2 linked regions of the Neodiprion lecontei genome follow. The protein of the gene in region 1 purifies or fractionates together with the protein of each later gene. This does not show direct contact. Links are inferred from orthologs where the notes say so. Each region holds a gene or a part of one and is shown on either strand. Other genes may lie near its edges.

Region 1 (7,993 bases):
GTTATTCGTTTATTGACATATGAAGGGGAAGGATGTACCTAAGAAATGATGACAAAGTGCAAAATTGAAAATTTGGGAGTCCTTTTATTCCAAGGGTCGAATTTTTGACCTTTTTTCGACATACTTACCCCCTAAAATGGTATTTATTTACGCGCTACCTTTCGAACTTTAGGTACATCCTTCCGATAATATTACAGAGTGTGATCTCCCAAAACTTCATCGAAATCGGTCGATAACTTTTGGAGCTACAACACGAGTAGTTTTTGAAAATGTTGTTTCGAGATAATCGCGTTTAAAGTTTCAACATGTGAAAACTAGTGATTGTAGTGACTTACCGATTAATCAGCGATGCCAGGCGCGTACAGCAGACCTTCTCCTTCCTCGAAAAGCACATTTTCAGGCTATATTGCCTCGCGTTCTTGTCGGATAGTTTGGCATTTTACTTTGGTAAACTCGGCTGTTCGTGACAGAATTTCAAACGAATCTGAATCTGTTTTTCGGGCAACGTTTCATTCCGTATACCTACCGTTTCACGCTATATGGATATATCTATAATGTCCCCTTTATAAAATTTCTCGAAACATCCGCCTGGTCAAAAAAAAAAGGAAATTAAAAAATTATAGAAATTTCATCAGCAAATTGATAGCTACTAAATTTGGGCTCGCGCGAAAAATCCTCCTCGTCCACCTCGTCCTCTTTGATCTCCATGTCTTCCTGCATCGTCTCGTCCTCCTCGTCCTCTTCTTGAAGTCGAGTGTCGCCGGGTAGTGGACCTGGACCGCAGAAACTACGGAGCGTTTGCACTAGAAATCGAGTTTCAACAGGAACCGAACCTGGAGCGCAGAAACTACGCAGCGCTGGGTAAAAAGTTACCAATTCAAGAACCTGGACTACGGAGCGCTTTACCTGGATGTCAAAATTCACCAGTTGGAGGACCTGGACAGCCAGAACAACGGAAAATTCGTCCTGAAGGTCAAAAGTCACCAGGTCAAGGACCAGGACAGTCAGAACTACGGAGCACTTGTCCTGGAAGTCGAGTTTCACCAGGTAGCGGACCTGGAGCATACAAACTACGGAGCGCTTGTTCTGCAACTCGAGTTGCACCAGTAAGCAAACCCCGATTGCAGGAACCACGGAGGTAGAGAATCCGGTACTCGAAATCTGCGGAGCGCGATTCTCATACGTCCGCTCCACTGCGCGGTTGTTTCCAGACTGAAAAATTCGGCTAGCTGATTTCCGATCGATGACATCAAGGGAAATTTTAGGTGACATCACTTTCTGAATATGCGAACATCCGAACATCCAATCTAAGATTTCGAACTTTAATACTATGTATGATGTATGATGTATGATGATATGATATGATGTATAATGATTTTAGTTTCCACGTTCCAGACAAGAAATACGCACTTTATGTTTCCTACCGATTCCAGACTCAAGCGTCTAGGCCCTTTGATGGTCAGCCGTTGACTGAAGATATATTCTTTATTCAACGGGTCAGCCAATAACGCTGCTGTCCTGCGACAGTTGGATGATAAAAATTTTCGCTCTTAGCTTTCAAATGCGTGTTAAAATACACTCGAAATTTTAAGAAGCCTCGTTCCATCTCTCCTTGTCAAAAAAAAAAAAATCGCCGACAATCACCTTTTTAGGTCTTCAAATCAGGACACTGCGTTGTACTCGTATACCGTCTCGTATACGGAGGATCTATTCCATCTCGATCAAAATTAGCGCATCCGTGATGTATTGCAGTTACTCTGAACTTTTTTCCATATGAACACTTTTCTAAAAACAATTCTGCTTCTCTACCCAACGTAGAGTCTTCACTTTCGAGTAGCTAAAACAGCGTTTCGATTCTATGCCTACGAAAATTCAAGATCGAGAGAGCAAATGAAATGTTGTGGGAATAATTATGAATATTAATGTTGTGGAATACATCGACCGCGTGTCGAAGAGAATCCCATTTCGAAATGAATAACCGTTCTATTTTAATGTCATAGCCGATTATTGTAGATAATCTAGTTTGTCTCGTGGAAAATTATAAACTTTATAGTATGCATCACGAATTAATCGTAAATGGATCATATATATTAATATCGTACATGGATCGCATATACATATATACTTTTTGGGCTCTGGATCGTTATTACATCTGACCTAAATATGAGTTCATTCTTCTCTCGGGTACCTATACTTTAATTAAATCACTGTTTTGCTACGAACTTTGGAAGAAATTTATTCTGATTATTAATTTCTTGTATCGCCGAGAATTCGGTAAGTACACATAGGCTGAGTACTGGCTTGGGCTCAGCATTGCGAAGACTGTGTTACTTGGAAGGTGACTGCAGCTAGCATCATGTCGAAATCGGTAACGATTTTCGCTTGTCACACCAAAGCACATCAGGGCAATATGCATGGAGCTCCCTCGCTCGCACTCTCAGTGAGAAAGAAAAAGACACGGCTATACTGCGAACAGCGCATGCGCGAGCATGTAGCTTTTCCGTTCTGCGGACTTGGCCTTTTTCGTGCAGTATGTATAATGAGCCAACTTTTGAACTCGGCTTCGGCTGAGTTCGGTTTCTCTAGTGTTACTTCGTGGCCGACGCTTACCAACGGTTGTATCTGGCGTCAGCGTACCGCTAATTCTCATTTCCGTTTTCGCGTTCGAAGCATTTACTAGGTGTTCGGTGCACGTGTTTGTTACTGGTCATTGAAAATAAGCGAAGTGATATTTAACTAAAACTCACGGCTGTTTGTATAAGCCACTTCGAAAAATAGTTCAATACAAAGAAATACGCATTATTGAATCACGCAGAAAATGGAGAACGGTAACGACGTGGCGAAGGCCCAAGAGCAGACCAACGCTACCGTAAGTGAGGTTAAAGATAACCCGGCTAAGGATACTCCGACCGGCGAGCAGAAAACTGGCGATGAACCCAACCCAGAACTTTTGGCTAAAGTCCGAAACCAGATTGAGGTAAGGCCATAACTTTTATTCTCGCAACAGTAAAACGTCGAATTTGTCCTTTACGAAGCCACATTAACCGCCCTCGGCTTCAGTCTCACCTAACCATCCCTATCCTTCACTAACCAAATCTCATTTGAATTGTCATCGTTACAAGTGCTGATGGATGAAGGCTTGTCTTAGAGTATGAATTTTTGTAATTGAATTATGCACCATCCTTGAATGTGAATAATTTACAGTTCTACTTCGGCGACGTGAACATGCAGCGGGACAAATTCTTGATAGAACAGTCCAAACTAGATGAGGGTTGGATTCCAATGTCAGTTCTGCTAAAGTTCAAGATGCTAGCATCGATGACCACTGATCTTGAAACTATTATCAAGGCGTTAGCTAGCAGTGAACTAATGGAAGTTTCCGAAGATAAGAAGAAGCTTCGACGCTCTCCTACTCATCCTCTACCAGTTTTTGATGAAGCCTACCGAAAAGCTCAAGAGGAGCGAACTGTGTATGTCAAAGGCTTTCCTCTGAACAACACAAATATTGAGAAACTCAAAGTATTTTTCCAGCCTTATGGACCTGTGGAAAACATTGTGGTAAGGACCGAAGTAACGAAATATTGCCTGTTCTATTGCAAGTCAATGAAATATCTGAAACTATTGATAAACGCAGATTAGTTGCAGTCAAAATTTATAATCCACACTCAATATTTCATGTATTAGACATACACTAGGAATTTTACATAGAATAATCAATAGCTAATATGATTAATGTAATACCAGTGTTGGTCTCAGACATCATTTTCTTACGATTCCAATTATTTTTATTAACGTGTGTTGAGCATTGCGTTACATGACCGATCTAATAGTAAATATATGAGAATTAAGATAATGTTTTATCAAAATTTGCTGTCAAATGATGATGATATTGTGACAGAATTTGCCATGAATGGGCCAGGGTTAAATAAATATACAGATTTTTCATCCATTTATCTCGCTGGAAGATGGGCTCTGGGGTTACAGTCTCCAAGTTATTAAATTGTTAAGTCTTGCAATAACGTATTGGTCTTAGCTGACCAGAGCGTACTTCCTAACATCTAAATGCTAGCAATACTACAAAGTTTAATCGAATGTTTTGCAAAAATATGGAATGGATTCTCATAAATACCCTTAAATAGGTTACGATGCATTGTACTCCAACCACCTAAAGAATCCATTACATAGACCAGGGCATGACGCCTTAAATCCAAGTGCTATCAAGTAAGAGTAATCAATGTTGTTGATGTCTCTTTTGCATTCGTGAGGTTTGGATTTGTCTAGGAAGGATCCCACAATTCGATTCTGTAATGCAAAATTTTCGGTTCCAATTATCAGTAGAATGAAGAAACCCCTTTTAATTCTGTTCACCGAAATTTTGACAATATTGAATAATGCTAGAATTAATCAGTTAACACACTATACAGTTGTAATTTTGCGATAGAAATTGATTATGCAAAGTTTAGAGTTGCTGTGAGCAGCAGATCAAGAGCGACATTCGAAAAATTCCTCAATTGTTGGCTTTCCGATGCTCTTGACGTCTTTTTTAGCTTCCTTGGGGTCCAATTAATCCAATCAGTTTGTATCGATTCGATCGTAGAAAACAGCATTTTTTGCTCTAGAAATCGGTTAAAAGCAAGGATATTAATCTATTCTGAAATTTAAACTTGCCGAACACTAGAATCTTTGATTTCTCATCTGCTTGTTTTGTCATACTGTTATTATTATAGATGCGCAAGTACCAAGACAAGGAGAAAAAACTACAGTTCAAAGGTTCTATTTTTGTTCAATTCAAAACACTCGAACTTGCGACGAGTTTTATGGAGAAGGAGTCCCTCAAATACGAAGATACTGAACTGATAAGAAAATGGTCGTAAGTATTTTTTGTTTCTTTCTCTTTTTCCTCAATTTTATATGATTGGATGCCTTACTACTGATTGTAAAATGTAATCGTGTTTAGTCGTAAGGACATGGAAATCATTTTTCCTCCGTTCATGAGCCATATCGCCTGATCTATCTTATTGTAGGGATGTAGTATTTGTGGATAATGTTACTTCTTTTTTTTATATAGATCAGACTACTATATAGAGAAAACTAAAGAAAAGGAAGAAAGAAGACTGAAAAAGGCAGAGAAGACTGGCAAAAAAGGAGACAAAGTTTGTATTTTTCTTCAATCAATTAATCTATCTAATCTCCTTGAATAATTGAAATTATGATTCCATGAATGATATTCTACATTTCATACTGTAATTATGTCTTAGGAAGCTGATGAGGCCGAAGGGGAAGAAGACACAGAGGATGGAGAGAAAGAAAAAGGTGAGAAAGGATTGCCCAAGGGGTCTGTGATCCATTTGTCTGGCCTTTCTGAAGAAACCACTCGAGAAGATATCAAGGAACGTCTAGGAGCCCTAGAAGGGAGAGTTGCATTCATAGATTTCAAAAAAGGTGACGTGGAGGGCTGGGCTCGACTTCAGGGTGATGAAGCAGCACTCCCAGTTTTCGAAAAGATGGAAAATGGGAAGGTGAGCGGTATATCTTTTTTGAACGCTCAAAAATGCAGATGAGTTTCAGCTCGACAATCCGTGGTATACACTGCGCTACTTTCAGCACAGCAGATACCGTAACTATATGAAATATAAATGTCACACAAATAGCGTTTATCAGTTGTTCTGACGTATCCGAAGTTTATAATTCGAAATATATTAACTGGAATATTGCTCTGTACTTTATAGCTTCTAATCAGTGGCAAAGAAGTAACTTGCAGGATTTTGGAAGGCGAAGAAGAGGACAAATACTTAGCAAAAGCCAAAGAGGAGATGGCAAATCTCCGACAGAAATATGACCACAAAGGAAAACGTGGCGGCCGAAGAGGCGGTGAGCACATTATCATTCTTCGTTTTCTAGAAAATTTAGAGCCTTGGATGTTTATACACAACGTGAATCAATCATGTATTTCGCCAATAAATTTAAGTTACTAACCTATTTCAATTGAGAAAAATCAAGTCACCCTTCAGGCAGTATAATTGATTACGTACTATCGAAATTCAAGTAGTTTAAATGATGACTAGCCATGCTAATACTGAGAGATCTTCAGGATCTCGCTGAGTTGAAATTTTCTAAACGCACTGATGGAAACTACTATTTGAAGTGAGGCTCTTTACCTTACTCGATTACTGGGATACAACTCAATAATGCGTTACGTATTTTTCATTTTCAGGCCGAGGCGGATACAGAGGTGGACGCAAAAGGAGAAACAGCCCAAATCGAGATAAGCAACAGCCTCCGGCAAAGAAGGTCGCAGCGGCCGAGTAACTGACTCTCATACAACAGGCAAGTTAACACCGTCGTTAGAGAGGAGTCGTGAATCATATAAATATCTATATATAATATATTATATATAAATATAAAATATACTACATTACAACAATGTAATAACTTCATTGGCGATGTATAGTATTTTTTCAAATCTCGAGACACCTTCAAATAATTTGAAGACAAAAATATTATTGAAGACTGCATTCATTTGAGTTTATTGTGGCGAATATGACCGCCGCGTTTGCCATTCTGCTTCCTTCCTTTGTTTATTATGTATCGTTCATAATATATTAGGATAATGTATTAATTTAACAGAATGTAATTAAAAGTTGGCTTATATTTCTTATACATGACCTGCACAGTTACTTATTGTTGACCTACTTCTCTTGCAACGAAATCCCGGTGAGGTTTGATCTGGTTTTAACCAGGTATGTACATGTGCCCGGTTTTCGGCATGAAGGTTTAGTATTTTGACTCCCCTCCGCGATCATCATTCCAGAAAGCACACGCACGCGCACCCCCCCTCCCCCCCTCCTGTGGTATGGCGGAAATTAGAGATTAAAATAAATTATTTCAAATTCTCCGCTGTCAGTTTACATTCAAAAGACTTTGTATTTGCTTGTATGTACAGGATTTGATAATTAGCCTACCTAATTATACGTAGGACTTATTCGATTGACGTATTATTTACATGATCGCGTTAGTATATTCGTCGTATATAATTATAATCTATATTCATATGTATAGGAACACGCTTGGTGCAACTACCCGGCGAAAAAAGCAGTTACTTAAGAAATAGGGGGAAAACAACGTGTAATATTCGGAACTTCAATACCAAATTATAAACGCATAGGTGCATATGCAAGTTCGTATTTATCGCGTCATTAAAATTTACGTCGGAGACTAAATGATATCAACAAAATGTCGCAGGTACAAAAACGGCCTATACAACCAGCCAAATTGCGACTTTTGAATAGCTCGACATCAATGTTCAGAAACATCTCTCATAAGTGGAAGAAAGACAGCGATTTTAGCTTCGTACAATTCACCCTACTACAGAATTATTTAACTGCATTTACTCACAAAATAATATTAAAATTAACAATCACAATTACAATTTCCCACCTATGCCTTTATAATCAGTGATATATTTATTAGTATGTTGTATACATATACTATAGGCTGTCGGCAGTTTCTTTAATTTCTGTAACCTACCAATTTGGTTTTCGGATATTTCAGTTAAGAAAAACAGTATTTAAATTCTGTAGATAATAGACATTGCGACACCCTGTATATGTGTGCGATCTCTTATAATATAAATTTCTTAACTCTGTTATCTTTTGGACAGCATGTATAAAATCCGCAGTAATATCAACGAGCTATGAGCCTGGAATTTACCAAAAATAATTCCAGTGTTTCATTTTTCACGTGCAACGAATTTCTGCGCATATGAGATGATGAACAAAAAATGCAATATTCCAAGGAAACTAGCACAAAGTGCCATAAGTGTATCAAAACAATACTCATGATGTTCATTTATAAATATTATTGACCAAAAGAAATCGAAAACTATCAGATTTAACACATGTTCTATGTTCTTTAATAAACGTCTGTAAACGACTCAACGTTGACGAGTTGAACAGCGCTGAAAATTGTCCAAAATCACTCGTATAGAAAACAA
Region 2 (8,779 bases), on another chromosome or scaffold:
GTTCTTGGAGTTGTCGAGGTCTCGATGAAGTGGTTCAATGCCAATTCAGTTTTCGAACCGCCCACAGCTGATCACTACAACTGTCCGAATTACTGGTGGAGGAATCTGCTCTACATAAATACGCTTTTCCCCGTCGATGAAATGGTTAGCATGTGCACGATTTTTTTTTTTCTAATCGTTAAGAAATACCTTTTTCCGGCAGACGCTTTGACCAGTCGGTCCACTTGTCGTGATGAACATTGACGGTGAATTTTGAATTTCAGTGCATGCTTTGGAGTTGGTACGTCGCCGACGATACGCAGTTTTACGTCGTTGGTGCTATCATACTGATCGTAGCGACCAATCACGTCAAGATTGCTGCATTTTCGACTGCGATGTTACTCCTCAGTTCCTGGATAGTAACGGCTTACATCGCTTACACCAACAACCACATGCCAAGCTCGGACGATCCCCTCGCATTATTTGACAAAATTTACGACAAGCCTTGGACGAGGCTTGGTCCTTATTTGATTGGGATGTCCGTAGGGTATTTACTCTTCAAGACAAACTGCAAAATTACTATGTCCAAGGTTGGTCTTTGCTTTACACATATTTCACACCCACGCTGTTGTGGATTTGTCATCTTACGCGTAAAACGCTACTTGAAAAATATCGACATTCAAATAATGCCTTTCGTATTTCAGATGACGGTTACTGTGGGCTGGCTACTGTCAACAGCGTGTCTTCTCAGTTTACTCTACGGTTTGTACGAGACGGAATTGAGTCTTGCAACGGCAGCTGCTTACTCTTCCTTAAGCCACAGCGCATGGTCACTTGGACTAGCATGGATAGTCGTAGCGTGCAGCACAGGCTACGGAGGTCAGTTGACAGAATATATGAAAAATTATTTATAACTTCATGGCCTGAATCTATGCTCGCTTACAGAGACAAATTTTTAATCGATAATTGTTCAAATTGCACAATTATTCTGAAATTGGACAAAGATAAAGGAAACAAGACTTTGTTCAATTCTCAGATCTTTTTACAGAGATGGTAATAGACTCATTACTTCAAATCGTATTAACGACATTTTTAATTTTTCTTATTCAGGTTACGTCAACAGCATATTATCGGCGCCAATTCTGCACCCGTTTAGCAGAGTTACTTATTGTGCCTACCTTGTCCATCCTATCGTTATTCGACTAACAGCAATGAATCTAGACGCACCGTTTCATCTTGGGAAAGATACTGTGGTACGTAAACTCTGACGTAAATATAAAAGGGTATTAAATTCGCCTGGGTTGCATTGCACTCGGTTAAAACAAACGATTAACGTATGTAACTAACTTTTCAGTTGATAACATTCCTCGGGCAATTCGTGCTTTCGTATGCCTTGTCATTCGCGATTTCTTTGGCTTTCGAGGCTCCGGTTGTCACTATGCTGAAGATCCTGGCACCTAACAAGCGAAGAAGAATCCCACGAGTTCCTTGAATCCAAGAGTGTGTTTGATCATCGTTGAATTTTGGTGCAAAAGTGATATACGATAGTTGAGAAAATATGTGATACTCCATATTGTAATAGGAGTAACGAATGCAGTTGTATGAGAGTCAAGAGGGAAGCTTGTGTAGTTGTTTACTTCGATAAAAACCAATAGGCATAGTTTTATCATGCAGCTATTACCTATAGTCCATTTTTATCAATTGTTTAAGATATTTGTATGGAAGCATACGAGGATTTTTCGGCGAGCATTTGACGTGGGTACGAAACTATAAACGACTATATACTTGAAAATAACCAGACGTAAACTGTACCTTGGTACATTGTGGTACCTGAATCAAACACTTGCCAAGGAGTGTTTTGTTAGGATGAGATAATTAGAATTATTTCGAATGTAATTCTCTCAGACTCTCTCCGGATATCATCTCTTTTTTTTTTGTAAGTGAGATAATTTTCAAATATAAGTTATTTAAATTGTATCTAATACGCCCTAACGCGCTACGTCAATATATGTTAATATTGTACACCCCATTACCAATATGTACCGTATTCATTAGATTTGATCTTATTATACGGCCTAATTTTTAGATACGTTTTATCTGTAGCCTGTAAATAATAAAATACAATTTCTATATAAATCGAATCACCAATTTCACTTTTAATTAACCATCAATCTGTCACCTATACGTACTTCACCTCAATTCATCAAAAACAATAAGAACCCGACAAATTTCGAACAGTTAGACGATCGCGGGTGAAAAAACAGGTAATTCAGATTTCACGAAGCCGTCAGATAAAGCTCTTCTATCTTACCGACAGTCGTCGAGAGAGATGGCAATGAAATGCCAAAATTTGTTCCTTTCCCCTTCACGGGAAGTGGAACAGCTATAGATATAGGCGTATAATTTCGCCTCATTCTCCTCTGCCGCCTCGATCCCCGCCGCAAATATCGACAGAGAGAGAAAGGAGTACTCGCGGCATATATCTGTCCTTTAAATGTTTGCTTCAAACGGCTCATGAGAGCGCTCAGTCTATCTTTTATAAGTCTATGGTGCAAACATCGCAACTGACGTGCCGTTGTCCGTAGGAAATATTGTATGGTCGTATTTGGGCAGCGCTACAGACATTTTTCCGATATTATCAGGTAACCGTTAGTTTTTCTGGTAATACGACAAGAACATAACACCGTTTTAGCATTAGCCAACGAATGATTCAGCCACTCAGCACCCTGTTGAAAACGAGAGGAAGAGAATTCGCTTGGAATCCTGACGTCACGTCATGTCATATTCGTATCAATATTGTCTCATTCTTTTTTTCCAACTCGCTTTATAAGGTAATTGCGGTTACGCGTTTGGAATTACGTGCGTGAGTGTGTCGGTTCTTTAACGCATTCCACATTCTTCCGCCAATTTCGCATTTCGGAGTACGAAGTACGTACGAGTTCGACGGTCGTAACGTCGTTTTACATTGTTCACTGAATACCTAACCACGATCAGCTCGCGGCTATGCATATATGGAAATACGCCGGATATGTAATGGATAAGATATATTGTAATTGAATGTTTAATCAAAATTTTTCTCATCCAAACTTGATGCGTATGCGTATATCATTTCACAAATTGCACTGACTTTTGACAATGCATTAAACGGTGTTTAAAAGAAAGTGCTACAACGATTCTTTTCAGCTCACTTAGCTTTTTTTCCGACATTTTTTGTTGTTACTCCGAAATTGAATATCTTCAAATTTAGACACCGGTGGAAATTTGGGTTGGATTCGACTTGTACGTTTCCTACTTAGATAATATGTTACACGATCCGCTACTTCATCGATTTTGTTCAACTTTGAAAACACGTATTAAGGGTAAAAGTCTTGTGTTGATATAGGCTTTTAATCTACACCATATATGTTTTTTAGAGGTATTTCGATGAGTAAATTCTACAGCTTGCAGCTTATAAATATTCTAATCAACAGTCACGTATTTTAAGTATAATATATTGACAGAAAAGCATTACATCGATTGATATATGCCATAAAAATTTTTTCTGGCCACCAGTGGAAGATGCAGAAAAATTACATGGATTTAGAAATGTTTTACATGGAAAAACAATTATTAAATTAATAATAACAACGATAATAATCGATTTACAGAATTGACGTATAATTAATAAATATGGCGGAGCCTGCGCTATCAGGAGATAGTCTAATTCAACTTGAAGTACGTCTTTGCCAATATCTGTATGTCGGGAAAGAATACCCAAATTATCAACCAGGCAATTGGTTTTTTCACAATTATTATGAAGAAGGTCGCGTTCAGTCCATAAAAAAAATAGCCGAAACACAGAACCCATTGGTAGCAATCGACTTGATTAAAAAGGTACATAGTTTATATCTGTTAATCAATGTTTTTCTAATTATTTCTTAGACACAACGGGAATACTGATTATTGAGCTACATATGAATACTCGTTTATCTCTAGTCATTTTCCTTTTCAGGCTTTTGAAAGAAAACTGGTACAAAATTCAGAAACTTTGATATTTGCACTGGCAGTATGTGCCAGACAAACTGAGAACGAGAGTCTGCGCCACGCTGCCTACAATGCGATAAAAACAATTTGTACAACACCGCAACATTTCATTCTGTTCGTCAAGTTTGCTTCTCAAATAGCCAAGAGCGCACCGGAACCGAAACACGGTTGGGGTGCCGGATGGCGAAAAGCTGTAAATGAGTGGTACTTGTCCAAAGATGCACTTGATTTAGCGAAGTGTGTTACCGGATGCAAAGGCAGATATGGCTGGACTCACAAGGATATTGTGAAATTATCTCATCCCAAAACAGACGATATTGGTAATTTGAATCAATCCACACTATTCAGGTTCATTTATATTACAATTGAGTTTCATACTTGTTAGAATAGTGCCAACAGCTTTGGTCCTTTTGAGACTAAACAAGCAATAATCGAATGCTCTCAGTATCATGCATGAATAATTAATGTATCAACTTTGTATGTAAAACAGCAAAGAAGGCTGTTCTGAAGTACGTATTGTTCGGGTTGAAAGAAACGATAAAAGATTTTGGCGATAAACCGGAAGCTGCCGAAGTGATTGAGTATATTCAAAAAATTGAAAATTTTAAACATTGCGAAGATCAAGTATTGGCTGGCAGATTGCTAGAACTTCATAATCTTACATTGGATCATGTCCCTGGGCATTTACTGAAATCTGAAGAGGTAACTTTCGCAGACATTAATTTGGAATGTTAATAAAACTGGGAATAAAGTATTGACATGCCAATCGATATAATCAGGTATGGAATTCATTGATACCAACAATGAATATAACCATGCTGCTTCACAATCTCCAAAGAATGCACAACATTGGAATACTAGAACCAACTGGCGCGGCAGTCGATAAAGTAGTTGATGAAATCTGCAACCAAGAGAAGCTACTCAAGGAAAAGATTCACCCAGCTCTGGTTCTGATCACAATTAAGAATTACGAAAAATCTGGCCCGTATGTAATCTGATATGTTTTGTATGCTAGTCACAAATTTAACTAACAGATTTTTTGTAACCAATTTTTTTGTTCTCTATCAGAGCTTTATCGTACGAAAAACAGAAGGCCAGAAAAGCCAAAGCAAGATCAGTGATTCCACCGCCAAAACCTACAAGAAAAATTATTGAAGCTCTTTACAAAACACTTGGATATTCGTTTAATGTAAGTTGTATAATTCTGTCACATCATTGCTCATCAGGGAAACGCAGATTGATGCTTTATTATTATCTCCATCTTAGAGTCTGGCACCAACAGGTCTTCGATATATGATTACAATAGATATGAGCAAAGCTATGCAAGACAATTCTGCATGGCGGTGTGGAAATCTCAGCTCAGCAGAAGCAGGATGTCTGATAGCACTGTGCCTTCTTCGGAGTGAGAACAATGTAACAGTGGCAACTTTCAAAAATATTGGTGTTCATATTGTATATTTGAATAAAAATGCATCATTGGGACAAATTGTGAAGAAAATGAAGCAAATGCCAACAGGGGAGGTTAACTTGGAAAAGCCAATGATTTGGGCAGCTCAAAAAAGTGAAGAAATCGACGTATTTATAAACGTAGTCGACGTTGTTGACAAAAGATGTGGGAATGGAGCGAGAACTGACAACCCTAGGAAAGCTATCAAAGAGTATCGAAGCAAAATGGAGCTAAAAAATGCAAAGTAAGTGCTTGTCACACATGACATATAAAATTCTATCATTTCACCAATTTACTCATTTCTGACATTCATTATAGATTAGTAACCTGTGCGATGACAACTGCACAAATGGTACCTCATAGCGATGACGACAAAAACACTCTCACTATCTGTGGATTCGATGAGAATGTCCCAAAAATTATCGAAGCTTTTGCAAGGTCCCTGTTTTAATTTGCAACGATATCCTTCTAACCTAACCTTTTCTAACAGCCACAAATGTCTCAACACCAACCAAAGAGAAAAAAGGAAAAATACAATGTACATCAGGAACAAGAGACGTACGCAAATTGGCTATAATACATCAGTGTGTTACAAGTTATAAAATTACAAATCACCCTGGAGAATGAGAATGGCATTTAATCACGAGAGGTTAGTCAGTTGCATTTTGCAGCTGTTGGAAATGAAGTTATATTTTTCATCTTCCAATTCTTAATCTTTATCTGTCCTGCACATACAATACCTAACAATTTATTATTGCGACATTAGAAATACTTGTATAATTTTGTTCTTTCAAGGTCCAAAATTTTCTACGCACTTCATACTATCGATTTTAATTTGTGTCTGGAGTTTTCAAGGTTCTTAATTATCTTGTATACATTATTTGCTTATAGCTGGACAGAAACATTTGTGGCAGATAGCAGTAGAATCAAGAATTATTTTAGAAGTGATTCCGTGTTTTCTATTTCGTACAATATGAATGATAAAGAGTATCAATATGTGAAAAAGTTCGAAGATATATCTATGTAAAGATTATAATTAAAATGGGGAAAAAAAGATATTATCTGGAAAAAGTGAAGTTGGCCATGGTTTCAAATGATATGATAATCGGAGTAATTAATGCTGCATAGTTTAATGATAGAGAGACTAAATAATTACTACAACTGCCTAAGATATCTTTTACTTTAACGTAGAGTGTCGACAACCCACACAGACTGACCTTTTTGATAAAGCTCTGATTATTTATCGATTTATTAGCCGCATTTAGATCATTTTATGAATATATTATTCTAGATTTAATGTGACTCGGGTCGACACGGGAGAAATATATAAATCACGACTTAATTACCACTAATACGATAATACAAAAAAAATTAACAATTGTCGAGACATTTACCATACATGGAATTCGTTTCTCGAATAGAATTTGAATATCTCGTTGCTATTAAGAGCATCTTTATGGGAAAAACGTCAAAGTACATGAACACAAATGGCTTAATACATATTGGTCATATTGTGTTTCGCTGTAACGTCTACACCATTCTGTGTCATCGTGGTATGTTTCTTTAAAAGTCGAGCAAAAAAAAATATCAACGGGTCCTACTAAATTTTATCTATTTTATCTAAATTTACCATGACAAATTAGAAATCTATAAAGTTCTAACTTAGCACGTGATTAACAGTGGTGAAAAAAAATGGACACTCTCTATTTAACAAATATAATAGAAAAATAAAATATGCGTTATTTTGCACTGTGAATCTTTAACACTAAGTTGATACCACTATTAGATAATGATTTTATGTGATTACAATTAAGAATAAGGCGTGTATTCTTTTAAGAAGAAATTTTTTTTTTTTCTCCTTATGCTTAATGTCATTCTGCATATCGCATGTTGATGCATTTTTATTGTTGCTTTTTTTTTTATGAGTTCGAAACATTTTGATTTCAAGCTAGTAGTCAAACGCAGCAGAGTATTTAGGCTTACGATTGTACAGTATGCTTGATACGTATAATAATACTCAAAAATTATACATTGTAATAATAATTTTGCTTCAATTTGATCTTGGTTTTGGCTATGGGTTTGTGGTTTTTTGATATACTTTTAGTGTGTAATAACTAGGGCCTGGATTGATACGTGAATATATATTTTTTACTAAATCATTTTTATTTCTTATTTGGTTTTCTACATAAAGTAAGATGTTTGGAGCCAGAAAATGCAGTTTCTATTTTTTATATTTTTTTTCCCCCATATTTTAGGTTTTTTAAGTTTATATTATACGTACATGTTTTATAATTTGTAATACACATTTACCCAGGCTCTAGTAATAACTATTACGAATGCATAATGAATTAGAAATTCGCACACTCCCGGTTTACACCAGTTGATAGAAAATGTGAAAAAAAAGTGGAAAGAAAGAGAATAAATAAAGATGAAAAATTTTCTCTGTGATATGCATTTAACCCCAAAGAGTGTAAGCTTACAATTTTTAGTGTAATTTTTACTGTTATTTCATATTTGCCATATCCAAAGTAACGAGAAGTAAACACTGAATATCCCTTATACTTATATACTGTGATATAAAATCCACTGTTATTGTTGAAACTAGAAAAATGAATAAATAAATCGGGAGTGTGCTAAGCTACACCTAATTTGTTAATTAGTCTTAAATGATATAGTATAAACGATTTTATTGATAATCAATAAAAGCACGGGATAAAGCTTTGTTCAATAACGAATATTATATCGCTATCATTATTTTTTCAACTATCGAATTTAATGTATTAACTCATATTTTCCTTTTTTTACTCTGAAATTTTCTTCTCTATAAAATTGTCAATGTATAATATACAATATTTTTAGGTGATTTTACTTTTATTCTTCTCATAAAATCTGAATTTAGGTTAAAAGTAATATAATATTCGTCAGAAGAAAACAGTATTTTTTTATATTCCAAAATTTATGAATTTGGTGAGATCTATTTATTCACGTGCACTAAGTTACGTTGTGTTAAAATGAGGGTCCGTGTTTACAGCAAACGTGAAAACAGCATTAAAGAATAAAAAAATTGAAAAAAAAAAATCAATTAATGCGAAAAATGTGTATGATAAGAACGTACACTACAAATGATAATGGATGTTAGGTAGATTTCATAGAATCATGTATGAAATAATTAAGTATAAAGTCCGTTAAAAATTGGTATGTTTAATAGAACAACATTTCTGTAAAATGATAAAAGCAATTAATTTAAATCCTTGGCTATCTAACGAAATGTTATTTATCGCGTGCTATATTTTTTTGATAAAATAGTTAAAAATCTTAACGTAGATCCAT

What was found. The genes of interacting proteins can lie anywhere in the genome.
Region 2: the proteins of la protein homolog (region 1) and 60 kDa SS-A/Ro ribonucleoprotein purify together in Homo sapiens (affinity purification with mass spectrometry; 3 studies listed by BioGRID and IntAct, with this or other methods). This does not show direct contact. The link is inferred for Neodiprion lecontei from reciprocal best matches to the Homo sapiens genes SSB and RO60.

Annotation. Positions count from the first base shown.
Region 1 is NC_060261.1:34,445,392-34,453,384, reverse strand, and holds la protein homolog, read left to right. Parts: upstream 1-2,551; 5' UTR 2,552-2,818; coding exon 2,819-2,977; intron 2,978-3,204; coding exon 3,205-3,558; intron 3,559-4,727; coding exon 4,728-4,870; intron 4,871-5,068; coding exon 5,069-5,153; intron 5,154-5,258; coding exon 5,259-5,519; intron 5,520-5,729; coding exon 5,730-5,871; intron 5,872-6,049; exon of another isoform or gene 6,050-6,131; intron 6,132-6,214; coding exon 6,215-6,309; 3' UTR 6,310-7,076; downstream 7,077-7,993. UniProt on the Homo sapiens protein: Binds to the 3' poly(U) terminus of nascent RNA polymerase III transcripts, protecting them from exonuclease digestion and facilitating their folding and maturation.
Region 2 is NC_060262.1:27,929,417-27,938,195, forward strand, and holds 60 kDa SS-A/Ro ribonucleoprotein, read left to right. Parts: upstream 1-2,516; 5' UTR 2,517-2,621; intron 2,622-2,633; exon of another isoform or gene 2,634-2,810; intron 2,811-3,004; exon of another isoform or gene 3,005-3,028; intron 3,029-3,626; 5' UTR 3,627-3,648; coding exon 3,649-3,852; intron 3,853-3,970; coding exon 3,971-4,322; intron 4,323-4,492; coding exon 4,493-4,704; intron 4,705-4,781; coding exon 4,782-4,987; intron 4,988-5,070; coding exon 5,071-5,191; intron 5,192-5,268; coding exon 5,269-5,693; intron 5,694-5,767; coding exon 5,768-5,900; 3' UTR 5,901-8,579; downstream 8,580-8,779. Other genes in the region: nose resistant to fluoxetine protein 6, read left to right, coding at 1-144, 264-569, 684-858, 1,090-1,232, 1,334-1,471. UniProt on the Homo sapiens protein: RNA-binding protein that binds to misfolded non-coding RNAs, pre-5S rRNA, and several small cytoplasmic RNA molecules known as Y RNAs.